Linked DNA regions of Oryzias latipes. The protein of the gene in region 2 purifies or fractionates together with the protein of the main gene of each other region. This does not show direct contact. Links are inferred from orthologs where the notes say so. Each region holds a gene or a part of one and is shown on either strand. Other genes may lie near its edges.

The links. The genes of interacting proteins can lie anywhere in the genome.
Region 1: the proteins of rptor (region 2) and mlst8 purify together in Homo sapiens (affinity purification with western blotting; 15 studies listed by BioGRID and IntAct, with this or other methods). This does not show direct contact. The link is inferred for Oryzias latipes from reciprocal best matches to the Homo sapiens genes RPTOR and MLST8.

Annotation. Positions count from the first base shown.
Region 1 is NC_019877.2:3,129,593-3,137,544, forward strand, and holds mlst8 (target of rapamycin complex subunit LST8), read right to left. Parts: upstream 4,280-7,952; 5' UTR 4,031-4,279; coding exon 3,902-4,030; intron 3,389-3,901; coding exon 3,337-3,388; intron 3,267-3,336; coding exon 3,104-3,266; intron 3,032-3,103; coding exon 2,956-3,031; intron 2,880-2,955; coding exon 2,727-2,879; intron 2,644-2,726; coding exon 2,519-2,643; intron 2,437-2,518; coding exon 2,273-2,436; intron 1,309-2,272; coding exon 1,190-1,308; 3' UTR 885-1,189; downstream 1-884. Other genes in the region: bricd5 (BRICHOS domain-containing protein 5), read left to right, coding at 603-697; meiob (meiosis-specific with OB domain-containing protein), read right to left, coding at 4,916-5,029, 5,113-5,199, 5,292-5,478, 5,552-5,696, 6,702-6,794, 6,896-6,991, 7,085-7,137, 7,207-7,307.
Region 2 is NC_019859.2:4,709,995-4,718,214, reverse strand, and holds the start of rptor (regulatory-associated protein of mTOR), read left to right. Parts: upstream 1-3,857; 5' UTR 3,858-4,321; coding exon 4,322-4,338; intron 4,339-4,423; exon of another isoform or gene 4,424-4,578; coding exon of another isoform or gene 4,579-4,595; intron 4,596-6,831; exon of another isoform or gene 6,832-6,833; coding exon 6,834-7,008; intron 7,009-8,220. UniProt on the Homo sapiens protein: Component of the mechanistic target of rapamycin complex 1 (mTORC1), an evolutionarily conserved central nutrient sensor that stimulates anabolic reactions and macromolecule biosynthesis to promote cellular biomass generation and growth.

The DNA.
Region 1 (7,952 bases), on a different chromosome or scaffold from region 2:
GGGAGGGGCGATTGCTCAGCCAATGAGGGCGTGTCAAAAGGGGTGGGGTCGCACGCAGCTTTTAATTAATTTATTTTTATCCACTAGTTTCTAGAAAAACTGAAACCACATCAAAGCTAACACAAACTGTGGTTTGGTCGTTTTTTCCTGCCAAACAACTATGAAATGAATCAAATAAATAGTAATCCGCCACAAAAAATAGTCCCAAAAACGTCAAACTCGATAAAGCTTAGAGTTTGTATCAGAGATGTTAGAGAGACAATAAAGCTGCTGCTGACCTTTTCTAGACTCCTCCCAGCAATTTCTCAACTTTAGCCCTTTATTTGGGTTTTTTTTTTGTGTGTGTTATTTCTTCAGGACATTGGTGTGACAAAAGTAATCAGCTGTCTTTAGAGTAGCAAGGCAAAGAAATGTTTCAAATCTCCTAAAAAGAAAGTATAACAAAGGAACATGTAGACCTTCAAACCAGATTGACATCACTGGCCCCGCCCCTCTGGCTGCTTTTCCTCACCTGAGATACTCGGAGCAAACACCACAGACTGATATGAAGGCAGCCGTTGCAGAAAAAGATGCAATATTTGCTTCTGGTTTCTCGGCTGCAGGTCCCAGCAAACAGCGGCTGGTTTACTTCTGCATCGACATCTGCTTTCCCAGCAACATCTGCGTCTCCGTGTGCTTCTACTACCTGCCCGAGTGACGCCGCTGCCTCCCTGCAAAGCTAAACTTTTCCCTTTTCTTCTGCTTCTCCTCCCCAAAAATCCATCAACCTTCCTGGTTCCCTGTCCATCCTGAGAACCAGCTAGTCAAGCTGTCAACTTTCCTCCTCTCTGGTGACTTTTTGTACTCACAATGTTATGATGTTTTGTCAAATAAAATGTACACTGTTTGGTTTCGTTTCTCTTTATTTGAAAGCAGATTTTCTGAACAGCTTTTATTTCTCTTCACTTGATATGAGAAAGCAGCTCCGCAGCGCCTCCTCCAGGCGGGAAGCGGGAATGACAGCGTTCCTTTTGCTTTTAATAAATATCCTGGGAAATGTTCCTTCTTACTAACAGATTCACAACAAAATTAAAAAAAAATAAAACGGTCACCCTCTGGATTTGAATTTTTGTGCCGAACGATTCCGGGTTTCATTTGGACAAAACTGAGCAGCGGGTTCAGCTCCGGCTGACGGCGTCCGTCGTCCTCTTCAGCCGAGCACGCTGTCGTTGAAGGCCAGACACACCACGGCCTTCTGGTGGCCGCTGTACTCCCTCTTGATTTCGCCGGTCTCGACGCACCACAGACGAGCGAGATTGTCTGAAGACGCTGCGGAACAAAAACGCGACTTTACCTCCATTTTTCTGCTTCAACTGATTCCTAACATTAAAGAAACAGCTGGATAATGATAAAAACCGGGATTATTACTCCGCCCCGCAATAATCCTGGACTACGACGACCAGATTGGAAGGAAGTTTTTTTAATTATTATGGGATGGCCACAGGTGCCACGGCTTGGTGGTCACTGTGTGGCAGAGAGTGACGTTTGGTGATTTTCACATTCGTCTACAATTTATTCTACAATTTACAATTCAAAAGTCTTCAACAAGAGCTGAAGTTTCATTGACCTTTGACCTCGGGAAGAAGCTGCCATCTTGAATTTTGTAAAAAAATACATATTTATCCCGTTTAGTCCCAGCTACAAATTTAAACTCCTCCTAAGAATCGCCTCCTGACTCCTGGAGCGGTGTCCTTGGGAAACTAATTGGAATTTTGGAAATAAAGTTTGTGGATTTTGAACGGCGAGTTCACAAAAGTGGCGATTTCCTGTTGTGGGCGCATTTTTTACCGGAATATTGAGAAAATGGAGCGCACCTCTGCTCAAGCTGAACCAAACGATATGACAAACAATATGAACATATAAGAAATGTGGGTGTGGTTAACAAAAATCCTACGTTGCTAAGGAAATCCAAAAATCTACTTTTGCAGATTCTTCTAAAAATGACCGAAACCTGTTCGTCACCCCGCGGTGACCAAAAACTGAAATGGTTGCCATGGAGATAAAACCATCAGAAAAGCCGCACTTTTGAATAAAAGTGTTCTCTTTCATGAATTTGTGACCAGACTGGCAGAAGGGGAGGGTGAAGGCGGTTCAAAAGGGGGCAGTGTCCTCTGCAGGTCATGCAACGCCGTTTACGGCTTTAATTTTATATTAAAGTTTGCTAAAACATGCCATTTTTAACTTTAAAAACTCAGCGGGACAAGGGGACAGACCCAAAGGTGAAGGTACGCACCTGTAACGATGTACTGCGAGTCTCCGGAGAAGGCGCAGTCCCACATCCAGCCTCGGGACGTCTCCCCGGGGTTGTTGCTTTTGATGCTCAGCTCCGTCATCAGGGAGAAGTTGGACGTCCTCCAGATCTTGCAGGTCTGATCCGCTGAGCAGGTGGCCAGTAGTCTGGAGACATTCAAGGAGAAACATCAATGAGGTTTTTTTTCTGTTTGGCCTCACGTCAGGCAGAAACAACAAAAAGCCTCACGTGGAGTCGGGGCTGAACTTGCAGCGCAGCGAGTATCGTTTGTGCGCCGGGATCTTCGTCTTTGGAATGAGCTGCGTCACTTCGTCTCCCATCCCTCCAGCCAGGTTCCACACGTAACAGTTTCCCTGTTGGGGGGGGGAACAGGAACCTCACTCTAGTTTCTCTCCAACCCCAGTTTTTGCGTCCCATGTTCAGTTTGGGGACGCACCGAGCTGTTGACGGCTGCCATGTAGCTGGCATCGGGGTCGATGTGGACAGAGTTCACCGAGACTTCTGGCTCTGGAATCAGCTGTTCGTTGTGGTCCGTTTTCAGGTCCCAGATGTGAATCACGCCACTCTGATCCCCAACAATCAGCTCCGCCTAAAAGAAAAATCACAAAACGCTGACAAATCTACAGATAAATCCACATCAAACACCTGTGCAGCTTTGAGGATACCTGATTGGGATGAAGACACACACAGTTGATGGGAGCGTTTACTTGGAAGATCCTCTGACACTGCAGGTTTCTTGACCTGAAAGGAGGAGGGTTGATAACAGCAGAGTGGATTTCTGCCGGGGTGTGCGGTGGAGGTGAACCGCCGTACCTTAGGTCCCATATGCGAGCCATGCAGTCCTCTCCTCCGGTGTACATCCAGCGTCCGTCCTCATGGAAGCCCACGGAGGTGATGTTCTTGCTGACTCCGTCGTAGTTGATGACGGGGTTTGGGTTGTTGGAGTTCAGGTCGTACATGCGGATGTGCTGATACCCTGCAGGAGGAAGAGGAGGAACGCGCAGTGAAACGCCGCGCAGCCTTCAAATGGGAGAGTTTGGACTGACCTGCGGCGGCGATCATGCTTCTGTCCGGGGTCACTTCAAGGGAATTCACTTGCTGAAATGACGAGTTAAAGGCCCACTCCGAAAGTCGCGTTTTTGAGGTATTTAGCATATATATGCCTTTTATAGCATTTTTCTACAACAAAATACATATTATGTATGAGAATAATGCTGTAAAATATTAAGCCTATTGCATTTAATTAACAGTTGATGGTTTTATTTTTAGTGTGTGTGGTGAATCAAACAAAAACAAAACAAAAACGGATTATGTCAAACAAGTTAGAGCAAAGGTCACCTGTATTTTATTTTTATTTAACATAATACCGTTCCGTAGTAAAATTATTATTAAAAAGTAAAAAAAAATTACACTAATAAATTTGTAAAAGTATAAACAACAATAAAAATGTAAAATTTTACGAGACTAAAGTCATAATTTTGTTTTTCAATTCAGTAAAGCTCCGAAATTGGGGGCCATTTCGTCAGGTTGGGGTGTGAGCGGCTGTAAGCCAGCGGTAGCGCATGTAAACAGAGAGCTCTCACCGAACCGTTCTAACCAGGGAAAGGATACCGAGTCCTGATGCTGCACCGTCCGGGTACAGATCCCGCTGTGGGCCTGCCAGAACCGGACTGTGTGATCGTATCCAGCCGTGGCCAGGATAACCGGGTCGCTGCCCACCGTGCCCTGGTTGACATTCATGCTTCTCCGCTAGTGTGTCACGGTTACAAACAACACCAGAACCCGTCAGTCCACTTAGTTACATCTGACGAACTCGGTCCAAACGATCGGCCAACGACGTCAGCTCAAGCTTTTTGAAGTTAACTCTTTTAAAGAAAAGCCGTTTTAAAAATATCTGAATGTGAGAAAACATCTAAAAATCTGATAAGAATTCGCTTTACAGATTTCCTGAAGCCATCATTCGCGACTGCGGTACGTCTGACTAACGCGTCCCCGATAAACACAGAAGTGTGTCAAACGTTCCGCTTTGAAAAAAAAATTGTTTAAATGCAGGAATGCAACGATGTAAAATAATAATAATAAAAAATAAATCATAATAGAGGTAGAATCATAAAATCGCCTTTTCCCACACTCTTTCAGGTAATTAATCAACTTTTATTTGGCAATCATTACAATAAATGTGCAAATATGTCTCCTTATGATTCAGAGTAATATGTCAAAAAATATTTAAACATATTGTTTTATTTCTTTTTAATCATTTTTATGAATTCAAAATTTTAATACATATTTTTCTTTTTTTATGGTTAAAATTGCTTTAAATAAAGCATTTATTGTCGCTACATAAAATCTACATCATTCTTTTTATTTTAAATATACTTTTTTTTATAACAGTTGCTTTTGTTTTTTTTTTCTTTTTTAATTGTATTTTGTGATAATAAATCAGAATTTTTTTTCAAAACACAACTTTATTAAACAGGAACAATTTAACGCCTTTTTTTAAATAAATCAATTTATATCAATAAGTTAAATAAATAAGAATAAATAAATAAATAACAGTTGAAGCATCTGTTTACATTGTAATTAGCGCAGAACAAATGTAAATAGAACAGACTTCGCATTGCTGGTTCAAAGCTGCTGCAGAACAGCCGACATATGCTGCTTCACCTCTCCTGGGTCGGCCGGAGAGCAGGCCAGGATCACCCCCCTGATGCCGCTTTTCGTTCTCGCAGAGGGAAGGATCTGCGGCAGACGATCTCATGAACAATAAAAACACATCACAAAGACAAAAAAAAAAAAAACATGCCTTTTGAAGGCTGGAATACCTTCAGGTATATTTTGCATCTTTCCAGAAGAAACTTCCACTTGAGAGCGGTGCGCTGATCATCGGTCAGACGGATGAACTCGTCCGTCTGGAAGCAGGCAGCAGCATATTTAAGAGAAGTCTGTGGATCTCAGCAGTTTGGAGCTGACCCCCCCCCTCAGCCTCTGAGGAGTTACCGACCGAGCAGCCGAGCGTCTGCTCCGCCGTGGCGCCCCGGAGGCTGCAGGCCTGCAGCGTGCCGGTGTGGTCGGTCAGGTCCACCAGCAGGTCGAAGCCTGTGGTGCCTGAGAACGGCTGCTCCCCGCCCGGACACAGCTGGTTACCGCAGCTCTGCATGTCCGCCGTCAGCAGGAACCTACATTTAGAGCTGAAAAAAGCCCAAATCGAAGCACGGACAGATGGAAGGAAAGAAGGAGGCCGTGACTTTGGTGCGATCGTACCAGCGGGTCTTGATGACTTTAGAGGCAGAGGAGTCCAGGTCCAGCTTGGAGATGAAGCTGTAAGTCAGGCCGAAGAAAGTCTCCGGTTGCTCCTTGGCCTTCAACTTCAGCTGGTTGACGGTGTAAACGTCAGTGATGGAGTCCACTGCAGGCAGAAAACAAACACAAACACGCAAAAATGAAGCCACAAAAAACAAACAAACACCAACTCTTATCAACAACCGGGTATGGAGTCTGAATGATTTACCTTTTGGTTTACGGATCCTCTTAATAATTATTCAAATGTATTATATTTAATAATAAAGCATTTAGCTTTGTTGTGGAGTTCACCACAAAGTGACTGATTAGAATTTTAGTTTAAAGACCTCAAATGTGATTTTTCTTTTATTAGACACAAAAAGACAAGACAACAGAGGAAAATAATAACATCCTTTTAAATATGAATGATATAATTGAGCATCTCTGTCAAATACTCTTTAAAATGAAACTTTTCAAAAGCATTTGTGGTGTTTTTGTTTGTTTTTATGAAGCACAAACTGTCCTACTAACAGCAGTGAATCCCTTAAAGGGCCCCCTCCCATGAAAACGGTGTTTTTGCTGTTTGGAACATGTTCTTGTGGCCTTTTTCCGATGATGCAGGACATGTATAAAGACATTTAAGCTTAAAGTTTCTGAGTATTTCTTATTTAACTGAATCAGGAGCAGACAAAAAAAATGGTGACGTTGGAAATTCTGATTTTGGACAGATAGATCCAGGATTGTCTTTGTCTTCCTCGCCTGAGCTGGAATCTGGATCTGAACTGGACGGCTTAGAGGTGGGAGGGGCTGTAAGCTAGCAGGAGAGCGTGTAAACAGATGGAGACGGAAAGTGGGGGGCGGGGTTGCTTTTGCACCGACGGTCCCGCCCACAGGTCTGAGGTGAATATGAACTACTTTGGCTCTGCACCAACTGTGTCCTACAAAACCAGTTTTGTGACGCTTTGAAAATACTTCAAAAGATAATCAGAGTGGGGTTTTACTTGTAATTCATGTTCAGCCTAATTAATTTAAAAAAGAGATTATTTTGAAGGGTAAGGAAATGACAACAAACAGCATTTTGCTCAGTTTTTTTTAGGGTAACAGATGTTTATTGTTTTTGGACAGAACCCACCGGGCAGATCCTCGGCCGCCTCGTCGTGGTCCAGAGCTCCGGACTCGGACATCTGCTTGGCGAAGCTGAACAGCAGGCCGGCCTCTCGTGTGTCTAAAACAAACAGGAAGTGGTTCGGTTTCTCACTGGAAACACTTTCTTCAAGCAGAGAACGGGGGTGTTTTTTTTTACAGAGCGCTGATGGGATTTCTTACCGGGGTTGACAGTGATGACGCTTTTGGAGGTGACGGTTGCCACCATGCCGCCACGAAAGCTGTCAAAGCTGATCTTTGCATCGGCAACGAAGAGCACTTGGAGAGGAGTTCAGACATTTATGTTAAGCACCCCCCCCCCCAGAAGCTTCAACAAAAGGCAAAAAAAACAAAAAAAATCCACAGACTAACCCGCCTCCCTGGGAATCAGCGTCTGCAGAAGCTGAATGCTCTCCTTCTCCCAGCTGTGAAGGAAGCAGAGGTCAGCGGAAATCAAACCCGCAAGGCGGCCGCTGCACAGCATCTCAACCCACCAGACCAGAGGGAAGCCGGACACGGCGTCATCGAAGAGCTTCACTTCCAGCCTCTGTCCTCGCCGTCCGTCTGAGGTGGTGAACTGTCTGCTTTCCCCCATCTGAAGACAGAAAACGGACAGAATTCTGCTTTTACAATCAACAACAGGAGATTTCGTGTCACATTTCCTCTGGAATTCTCAAATTTGAACATCTAATGATGTTTTTTTTGTGTAAAATACAAACAGAAAAGGGATTTATGGAAGAAAAAACCAAAATCAAAGTTAGTAAATCGTTTAAAAATGTCTTTAAATACAGGGGAGGGGGGGTTGATAGAAACATTAACCCAGTTTGTGTGGGGACAAAACAATTTGACTGACTGTTGAGATGCAGAACAGAACAAATAAAATGTTGAAATCATATCTACATTTTTGGATCATTTCCTATTTTAAACAAGATAAAATCTGATTTATTTTTCTCATTGTTTGATATTTCAACACTTAAAAATCCTCCATTCAATTTACTTCAATAATTAGATCAGTTTAGCAAATGAAAGTGCAATTAAATATGTATGCGCATGCTGTTAAATATTTATAATAATAAACTTTATTTATATAGCACTTTTCGGTATCCAGATTACAAAGTGCTGCACAATTAATATGAGACAAAATCAGGATTAAAAACAGTTTCCAGTATGTAAAAATAAAACACACGAAACTGTGATAGCGGTTAGAATCAATCAAATCGATAAATCAGTAAAAATATTC
Region 2 (8,220 bases):
TATTATGATTTTAGGAGGCAGTCTCTGGAGAAGACATTCTTCTCACTTTAAAGCTTTATTAACAGAAACCTGTCAGTGTTATCAGTTTTTTTTTACCTTTTGACAATATATGATGAAGTCCCAATGTTAAAATATTTAGAGCTCATGAACAGTTTCACTGTTAATTTATCACTCGTGCCTTTTGGCATCCAAAAATGTCCTTTTTTACATTAAGGTAATTAGCAATTGTTTTGAATACAGCAGAAAACATAGATTTGAAATTGATTATTCAAAGACTTTGTTTATAATAGAATGTAGGACTAGTTCCCTATCAAATAATTTAATGCTGAGATTTATAAATGCCCTCTCACCTTGTGTATTTTTGGAAATGTACCTGATAAGAAAAACGTTGGCTCCAGTGGGATCTGCTTTAACCCTTGTGCTCTCTTAGATGACCCCACCCTTACATTGATGTGTTATTCCTACCATGGCAAAGGTGGATAAAGGTGGAGAGGATTTCATGTAATCCATGGACATCAGTGAAGATCACAAATCATTGAAGAAAAAAGGTTCAGAGCTCTGTCTAGTGGGTCTAGATGACCCAACTCCCAATGTTAAAGTGCCTAGGATAGCACAAGGGTTAAAGTAATTTTCTATAGGGACTTTCATCTCTTCCCAAAATGTGTGTATACATTTGCATTCCCAAGTAAGGAAGTATGTTCCTAGCATTTCCATACATTTGGGGCAAACATCCAGTATATTTTTGTTATACATATTCAAATCTGCTGCCGATATATTATATAGATATAGATTGTTTTTGGAGATCTTCTTTCAAAGCATTTACTTTATACTGTGAACCTTCGTTTGAATTAGACAAAAACAGATTATAAAACTCAGAAATGGCGCCTTTTTTGGAACTGTCTCTCAACATAAATTTTTTCTAAAATAGAACATGGTGGTTTATTGAGGATCTTCTGTGTTTTTCTTAAAAAGTTTTCTGACCTGGAGAAATTTATAAAAATGCTTTTTACTCAACTCATATTTAGTTTTTAACTCTTCAAATGACATCATTACATCAGAATGTGGAATATATAAGTCCGAGATGGTGGAAAGACCCTTTGCTGCCCATATTTTAAAGGTGGCAGCCGCTCTTCCAAGGGTGAAGAATTTGTTCCCCCAAATTGGGCTGTATTGTGACAGAGGTTGAGTTTGGTTCATGTGTTTAATAATTGGGTTCTTTGTCTCTTTGCGTAGCTTTTTTGAGGTGTTTGAATTAAGAAATAACAGGAGGGGCAGCTTTAGATCCTGGGATTCCATTTCAACCCAATGAGGAGTGTTTTTGACAGTAAAATGAAACATTATAGATCTAATCTGTGCAGCCCAGTGGTACCATTCAATGTTTGGAATTTTTAGTCCCCCTCTGTCAAAGGGAAGAAATAGTAATGTCAAACAGAGTTTTGCTTTTTTGTTATTCCATACGAACCTAGTGAAAATTCTCTTTCGTTTTGAAAATAAGTCTAGAGGTGGTGGCAGAGGTATGTTTTGAAACAGATAAATTAGTTTGGGGATTACACTCATCTTTAATATATGTATTCTTCCCATAATTGATATTGGTAGTGTCATCCATTTCTCTATGGAACCGTTTATCTTTTCCAGTTAAAGGATCATAATTTGATTCTACTACCTGTTCTAGTCTTGATCTGATATTGATTCCCAAATATTTAAAATTTTCAACAACATTAAATTGAATTGTCGGGCCCCACCTTTGCCAAATAGGGGGGTCCGGTTAAATTGCTACACCCAAAAGATTCAGGACCAGGGAAAGAGCGCCACACAGAAAACCCAAGGAACAATTGTTTTTTAAACTGCAATAATTTAATCCAATAAAAACATGCAGCCACAACACGACAAAGCCCGAACGGTTAAAACCTAAATAACTAAGACCAAATGTTTAAAAAGGTAGTAAAAACAGTAAAAACTTGAAAGAGGGACCTCATAAAAACATTGTTAAAATAATTAAAAGAAATAGTCCATGAAACACCAGTGAGACAGGTCTTGTAGTCAGCCACAGTCTTGTCTTTGTCCACCCTTTGCAGGCGCAGTGGGGTGTTCCTCCCAACATCTACACACCGGCAGGGCTCCTCACCCTGCCTATGAGTGTACGTCGCGCTGTGGCACTCCTGTCCTGGAGAAGACTCCTACACTGACTGCAGCTCCAGCCACACAGTTTGCTCCAGTGCTGTGTCCTTCAACGGCTACCAGCTGCTCTTCCTCCTTTCTCCTGCTGCCAGTGCAGCTTTATGGGTGGGGCCATCAGCTTACTGATTGGACACACCTGGGTGTCCAATCTGGGACCCAGTCTTCATGGGGGTGAAACAACACAAAACACAAAAACCAACTCCACCATACAAGCATGCAAACAAAAATCAGAGAAGACTTCCTCCATCAAAAACAAACTTCAACACAAAAGCATGCAAAAAATGACAGGAAAAGGTTTCACCACACAACAGAATTGTTTCAGAAGTTGGGTTTTTCTTTCTTCTTCATTATGTAATAAAATAGAGGATTTTGTTTGGTTCACTCTATATCCAGAGACATCTCCATATTTTCTGATTATTTCCATTAAAGAACGAATTGACTTTTTTATTTGAGAGAGAAACACAATCACATCATCTGCATATACTGTAAAGCTATTTTGTGTTCTACTGGACCCACTCCGATTCTATGTAGCCCTGTATGGGAGTGTATTGCTATTGGTAGTGGTTCGATTGCATTGTAAATAGCATAGGTGATAATGGACACCTTTGCCTGCAGCCTTTTGTTATGTTTATTGACTGTGAAGTGTTCCTGTTTGTCAAGATTTTTGCCATGGCATTTTTGTAAATGATCTGGACCCACATTTTTAAGTTGGTTCCACATCCACATTTGTCCATGACCTTAAAGAGAAAAGGCCAATGGACCTTGTCAAAGGCCTTTTGAGCATCCAGTGCTCGTAAACCTGTTTATGCTTTATTTGTGCTATAATGAATAATATTTCAAACTCTTCTCACATTGTGAAATCCTTGCCTTGCAGATATAAATCCATTTTGGTCTCTATCAATAATGCTTGGCAATGTATTCTGTAGTTGTGTTGATAAGACTTTACAGATTATTTCAAGGTCAGGTTATTGGTCTAAAATTTTCACATTTGTTTGAAGGTTTTCCAGGTTTTTCTTCCATGATTTTTGATCTTCACTGGTGTAAACAGATTCATGAAATCCTCTTCACCTTTATCCACCTCTGTCATGGTAGGAATAACACGCCAATGTAAGGGTGGGGTCATCTGGACCCCACAAGATACCACAAGAGTTATTGATACAAATTAGTATCTTCATACTGATTGTAAGTTTAATGCTGTTCACTGCAAACATTCGTTGCTTGATAAAATTTTGCCTGTTAAAATCTTCAACAGTGCTTATTAGTTATTGTGTGCTGAACTTTTTAAATTTTATTACTAAGCCTCACAAAGTTAACAAAATGTTTAATTTACGCAACAACAAAAAAAAAAAAAATCAACATTTAGGGGGAGGGGGGGGGCTGGCTTTGTGACGTTCAACTTTTAAAATGTGTTTATGAATGGCTACATATTTTAATAAAACAAATTCAATATTTTATTTGTTAGCCTTTTTTCTTACCCCATAATAATTGGACGGCAATCCAAAACCGGAAGTTTACACGATGGTAAAAAATATTACTTTTTTTTTATAATTATTGTTGTTAATTGTTTTTCCTTTTTAAAACGTTATTTAGAATAGTACTTTTCTTTACTAAAGATAATTGAACAGTGGTCCAGTTATTTATTTTATTTTTAGCGTCACAGGAAAAGCAACGGTGGCGTTTAACGGTGCATTCTGGGTCCTACCCAAGATGGCTGCGCCCTTGCCGTAGTGCTGAAGCAGTGCCTCTCCGGAGAAGTTTTTAGGATTTTTTGTGATTTCTGACAGAATTATCGCGCCGAATCGGCTCGCATGGTCGCTGGCTTGTAGAGGAACAAGGCAGGACCACCGTCATCTATAAGTTTTGCTGGTGCTTAGCGTGGCTGTGGCAGACTGTCCGTGTGAAGATGGGCCTCGTCTCCAACCCCTTCCCATAGCGAAGAGCCGCGGGGAGAGGAGCCGAACATTCCCCTGCAAGCACACCCCCGTCCAGCTCGCCTTCGACGGGTTCGACCTCCTGTATCGGCTGTGGACGCTGCCCTACAACTTCCTCGCGAGGATTATTTGCGCGACCTTCTCTGTCATCGCCCGGAGAAGACGGAGAGCTTCCCCTGTCCGGGCTGATAATCCCGCCGCACCGACTCGGTATGCAGCTGCTCGCTGGGTCTGTACACCCCTTCCGTCTCGGTGTTCTGCGGGGTTCGCAGTGGATACGTTTAAGTTAGCGCTCAGAAAGCCGTGGGAGGCTGTAGGAGAAGTGACGGCGACTGGACACGGGCTGACTGAAGCGCGCGAGGACAGATAGCATTAAGCTAACTGGACCCTCCAGCTCCCGTTTGCTCCGTCAGCCTTGGGGCAGAGTTCTTCACAGCTGAGCAGCAGGCGTGTTCCCACCTAACCTGTTATGAAGACGTCATCCAGGTGTAAATCCCCCTGAGATCATACCCCTTTTTTGAACTAATGTCAAATACCTCGATGTTTATTTACTGTTAGCATGTGACGTTGTTTGTATTGTAAGAAGGGGATTTCACAGCAGAGCTTTAAACCTGACTTATAAGAACTACAGGAACTGCCTCAATGAAAGCGATGTCACTTCAGCAGAAAACGGGACTTCAGAGGCTTTCCTTCAGCCTGTAACGTCAGTGAAATCAGTTTCTGAAAGTTACTTGTTTCAGTTGGAACGGTAGTTTGGTTTTTGTGAATGAGAGAGCCAAATGAACACACATTCTGCCCTCAGAGGTTCCTGCAGAGGCAGGGAGAGGAACCAAAAGTTGAATGGACAACAGTAGATGTTTGCTGACATGCTCCTACCAGTGTTGGTCTGTGGATAAAACACCGTATCTCTCAAGCATAGAATAACTATTCATTCCTAACAGTCGCTTTGCTCTGTCTGTCATTTTAAAATTAATTGCACGTTCTTCATTTGTCTCAGAGATTTCAAAATATTTGTTGCAGGTTTCAGTGATGTTTGATTTATTTGTGGTCCATAATCCCCCTTAAAGTCCAACTGCAATCATCTTGTGATCTATTTTAAAAGTATTCCCAGTGGTCTTTTTAGTTATAATTATGCCATACTTAGCCAAAAAAACAAAAAAAAAACAGTGTTGTTTTCTAGGATGTAGTTTCTGCAGAGCAGCAGGAGTTCATTACAAATTCGCCTCTGAGTTGGAAGCGGGACTGTTGGCACAGAGCAACCCCCACCCCCTTTCCCATCATAACTGAGAGTTATCAGTTTACACGATGTCCTGCTAGCCTCACACCCCCAACCTGACATTACAGGTGCGACAAAAATGGCGAGCAATATTGAAGCCATCCAGCTGTACAGTTTGGAGCCAGATTCCAGCTCAGACGAGGAAAACTGAGCATGTACATTGACGTGATATTTTTCAAACTGCTTTTTTTTCAGTTGCTTCTGATTCACAACAATTTGAAATACTGAAAAAAATGACATTTTAAGCTGAATTTTCAATAGAAATGTTCTCCATCATTAGAAAATGCCACAAGATCATGGGATTCGGTCTTTAAAGAGTTGTGTTGTAGCTTTTTTGTTTGTGTTGTACGTCAGACTTTATAGAAACATGGTAAGTGTCTTAAAGTAAAAGATAAAAAAAAAGCCATAGAAAATGCAAATTGGGAAAAACCAAGATATCTGTTCAGAAATGAAGCATTTACAAACTTCAGGACTCTCCAAACCCAGTCCTGCTTCTTTTCCAGTCCCTCTTTTCTGTTGTTTCAAAAATGTTGGAGCATCTTGGGAGGCGATAACTGAGGAGGTTGATTATGAAGACCAACTGTTTTGCTGTAAAACAACCACAAAGACTTAGTTTTGTGTTTTTGTCACCTGGCAGGGATGATGAGTGGAAGTCACTATGGCTGGGTACCGCTGCCAAAACAAGGAATTTAATACAATTTTAAGTTCACAACTCTATTCAATTTCCAATTCAACACATTTTGATTTATTATTTATCATTTAAATAATCATTTTATCTTTAAATATGAAAAGGTGTTTTCACATAACTAGTGATTTGAGCTGAGGAAAAGTGGATTTTTTTATTAATGAGATTGTAACTTATTACGTTAAAAACAAAATGTTTTTAGCTTTATTTTGAGTAACAGTTTTCTTATAACTGAAGGTTAGCACTAACTCAAAATCCGTGTTAGTAAAATAACTACCAGACTGTCTACTAACGTTTTGGTGAAATAAAAAAAGAACTGAAAGTGGGTTTAGGGTTTTTTGAAAAAAACAAAATGCAATGAGGAAGAAGCATGGAAGTTTCACATGGTGTTAAAAATAACAAGCTTTTATCTGTTCATTGGTGAGTCCTTGGTGTCATGATGTCATGACTTACAGAATAGTTTGGATTTTCCACATTATGTTGTCTTAAATAAAAAAATCTAAAGAGGTCCCTGTACGGAACCCTGGGGTACGCCTATTGAGATGAAGTATTATATTCTATAAAACCTTAGTGTTTCTAGTCAATTATGATTTAACCACAAAAGTAGTTGGCTAGTGTTGCTCAAATCTGAGAGACAAAGATGAGTTAAATATTAGCGGACAGTTTGTGTAATAACAATGTCAAACTATTTTGTTGGTGTTGATAGAAATCCAGCAGCCTGAGGAACCACATCAGCGCGGCTAACATAAGCTCTCTCCCACAGGGCCCTCATGAAAATGGACTCGGACTTGCTTCATTCGCCGGCTGTGGGCCTGGCTGAGGAAGAGGAGGCTGACATGAATGACTGGAAGCTTCCCTTGACCTTCATGAAGAAAAGACACTTGGAGAAGATCGAAGGCTCCAAGGCGTTGGCACAGAGCTGGAGGATGAAGGACAGGGTAACTCTTTTTTTAAATTTCTTTTTATGCCTGTCTATGAAACCTCTGGAGCAGCTTTTCTGGTGCAGTCGATACGCAGAGCTGTTCAATACTCGTTTCTTGAGCTTCATGAGTCCCTCAGGGAGCTTTGTTAATGCTGAGAGAGGAAATCTGAAACGCAAGATTGGGTTTCATTTGTTTCTGCAAACGCTGTCTTTGATATTCACAATGCCAAATATGGAAGCAAAATTAAATATGTACTTATTAATACTGTCTTTCATAAAGAATTATTTAGTTTTTTTTGTATTGGATGCAATCTGCCTGGAAATAAAACACTTCTGACCTCAAACACTGGTCCCCGGGTCCCAAACTAGCACCAGTCCATGGGTCAGTTGGACCCAGTTCTAATCGACTGCACGTACATCATGCATAACTTTCATTATTATTATTCTTCGTCTTATTCTAAATGATTTCCACCACATAACCATTGTGATGCTTATTTCAGTCATCTAGAATTGGACAGCTTGATGCTGACTACCTAAATCAGATGTGTCCAGCCAATCGGGATGTGGAATCACTTGACTCAGCAGGGAGAGCTAGAAAACAGGCAGGGTTGTGGTTCTTGAGGACCACATTCTGCCAACCCTAGTACATAGTGCATTACAGCTAAATTAAAAGCAAGCTAGAAAAGTAAACAAAAAACACAATTTCTTTGTGGAGAACCAGGAACTGCTTTATTAATAGAAAATGATGAAACATGGATTTATCATTCTTTAGTGTGCAAGGTTGCGCAAATCAACCACACTAAAGCCCTGCATGTCAAAACATCACATTTTCCCATCTAAGATCCTTTGATCCTTACAGCAGAGATGCTCACAAGTTCCCTTTTTGCAAGTCTGAAGTCTTTGCATTTAATTTCAAGTTAAGTCTGAAGTCTTTGGTGGCAAATCCAAGTCAATTTAGCTGCAAGTCCAGTCTTAAAACATAAGGCTGAAGTGACTATTTCATGGTCACAAACTGCTTTTGAAGAGCTTGTTTTCGGGACAAAAAACAGGAAGTTGGTGTTTCTACAAAAGCTTTATACATTTACAAAAAAAATTGTTTTAGACTCGAGTGACGTCCTGGAGCTAAAAGAAAATAAGAACAAACAAATTGACATTGTTCACAAGTCCTAATTGTCAAGTCTTTGAGTTTGAGTCTCAAGTCAAGTCTCAAGTCTCTGCATGTAAACCG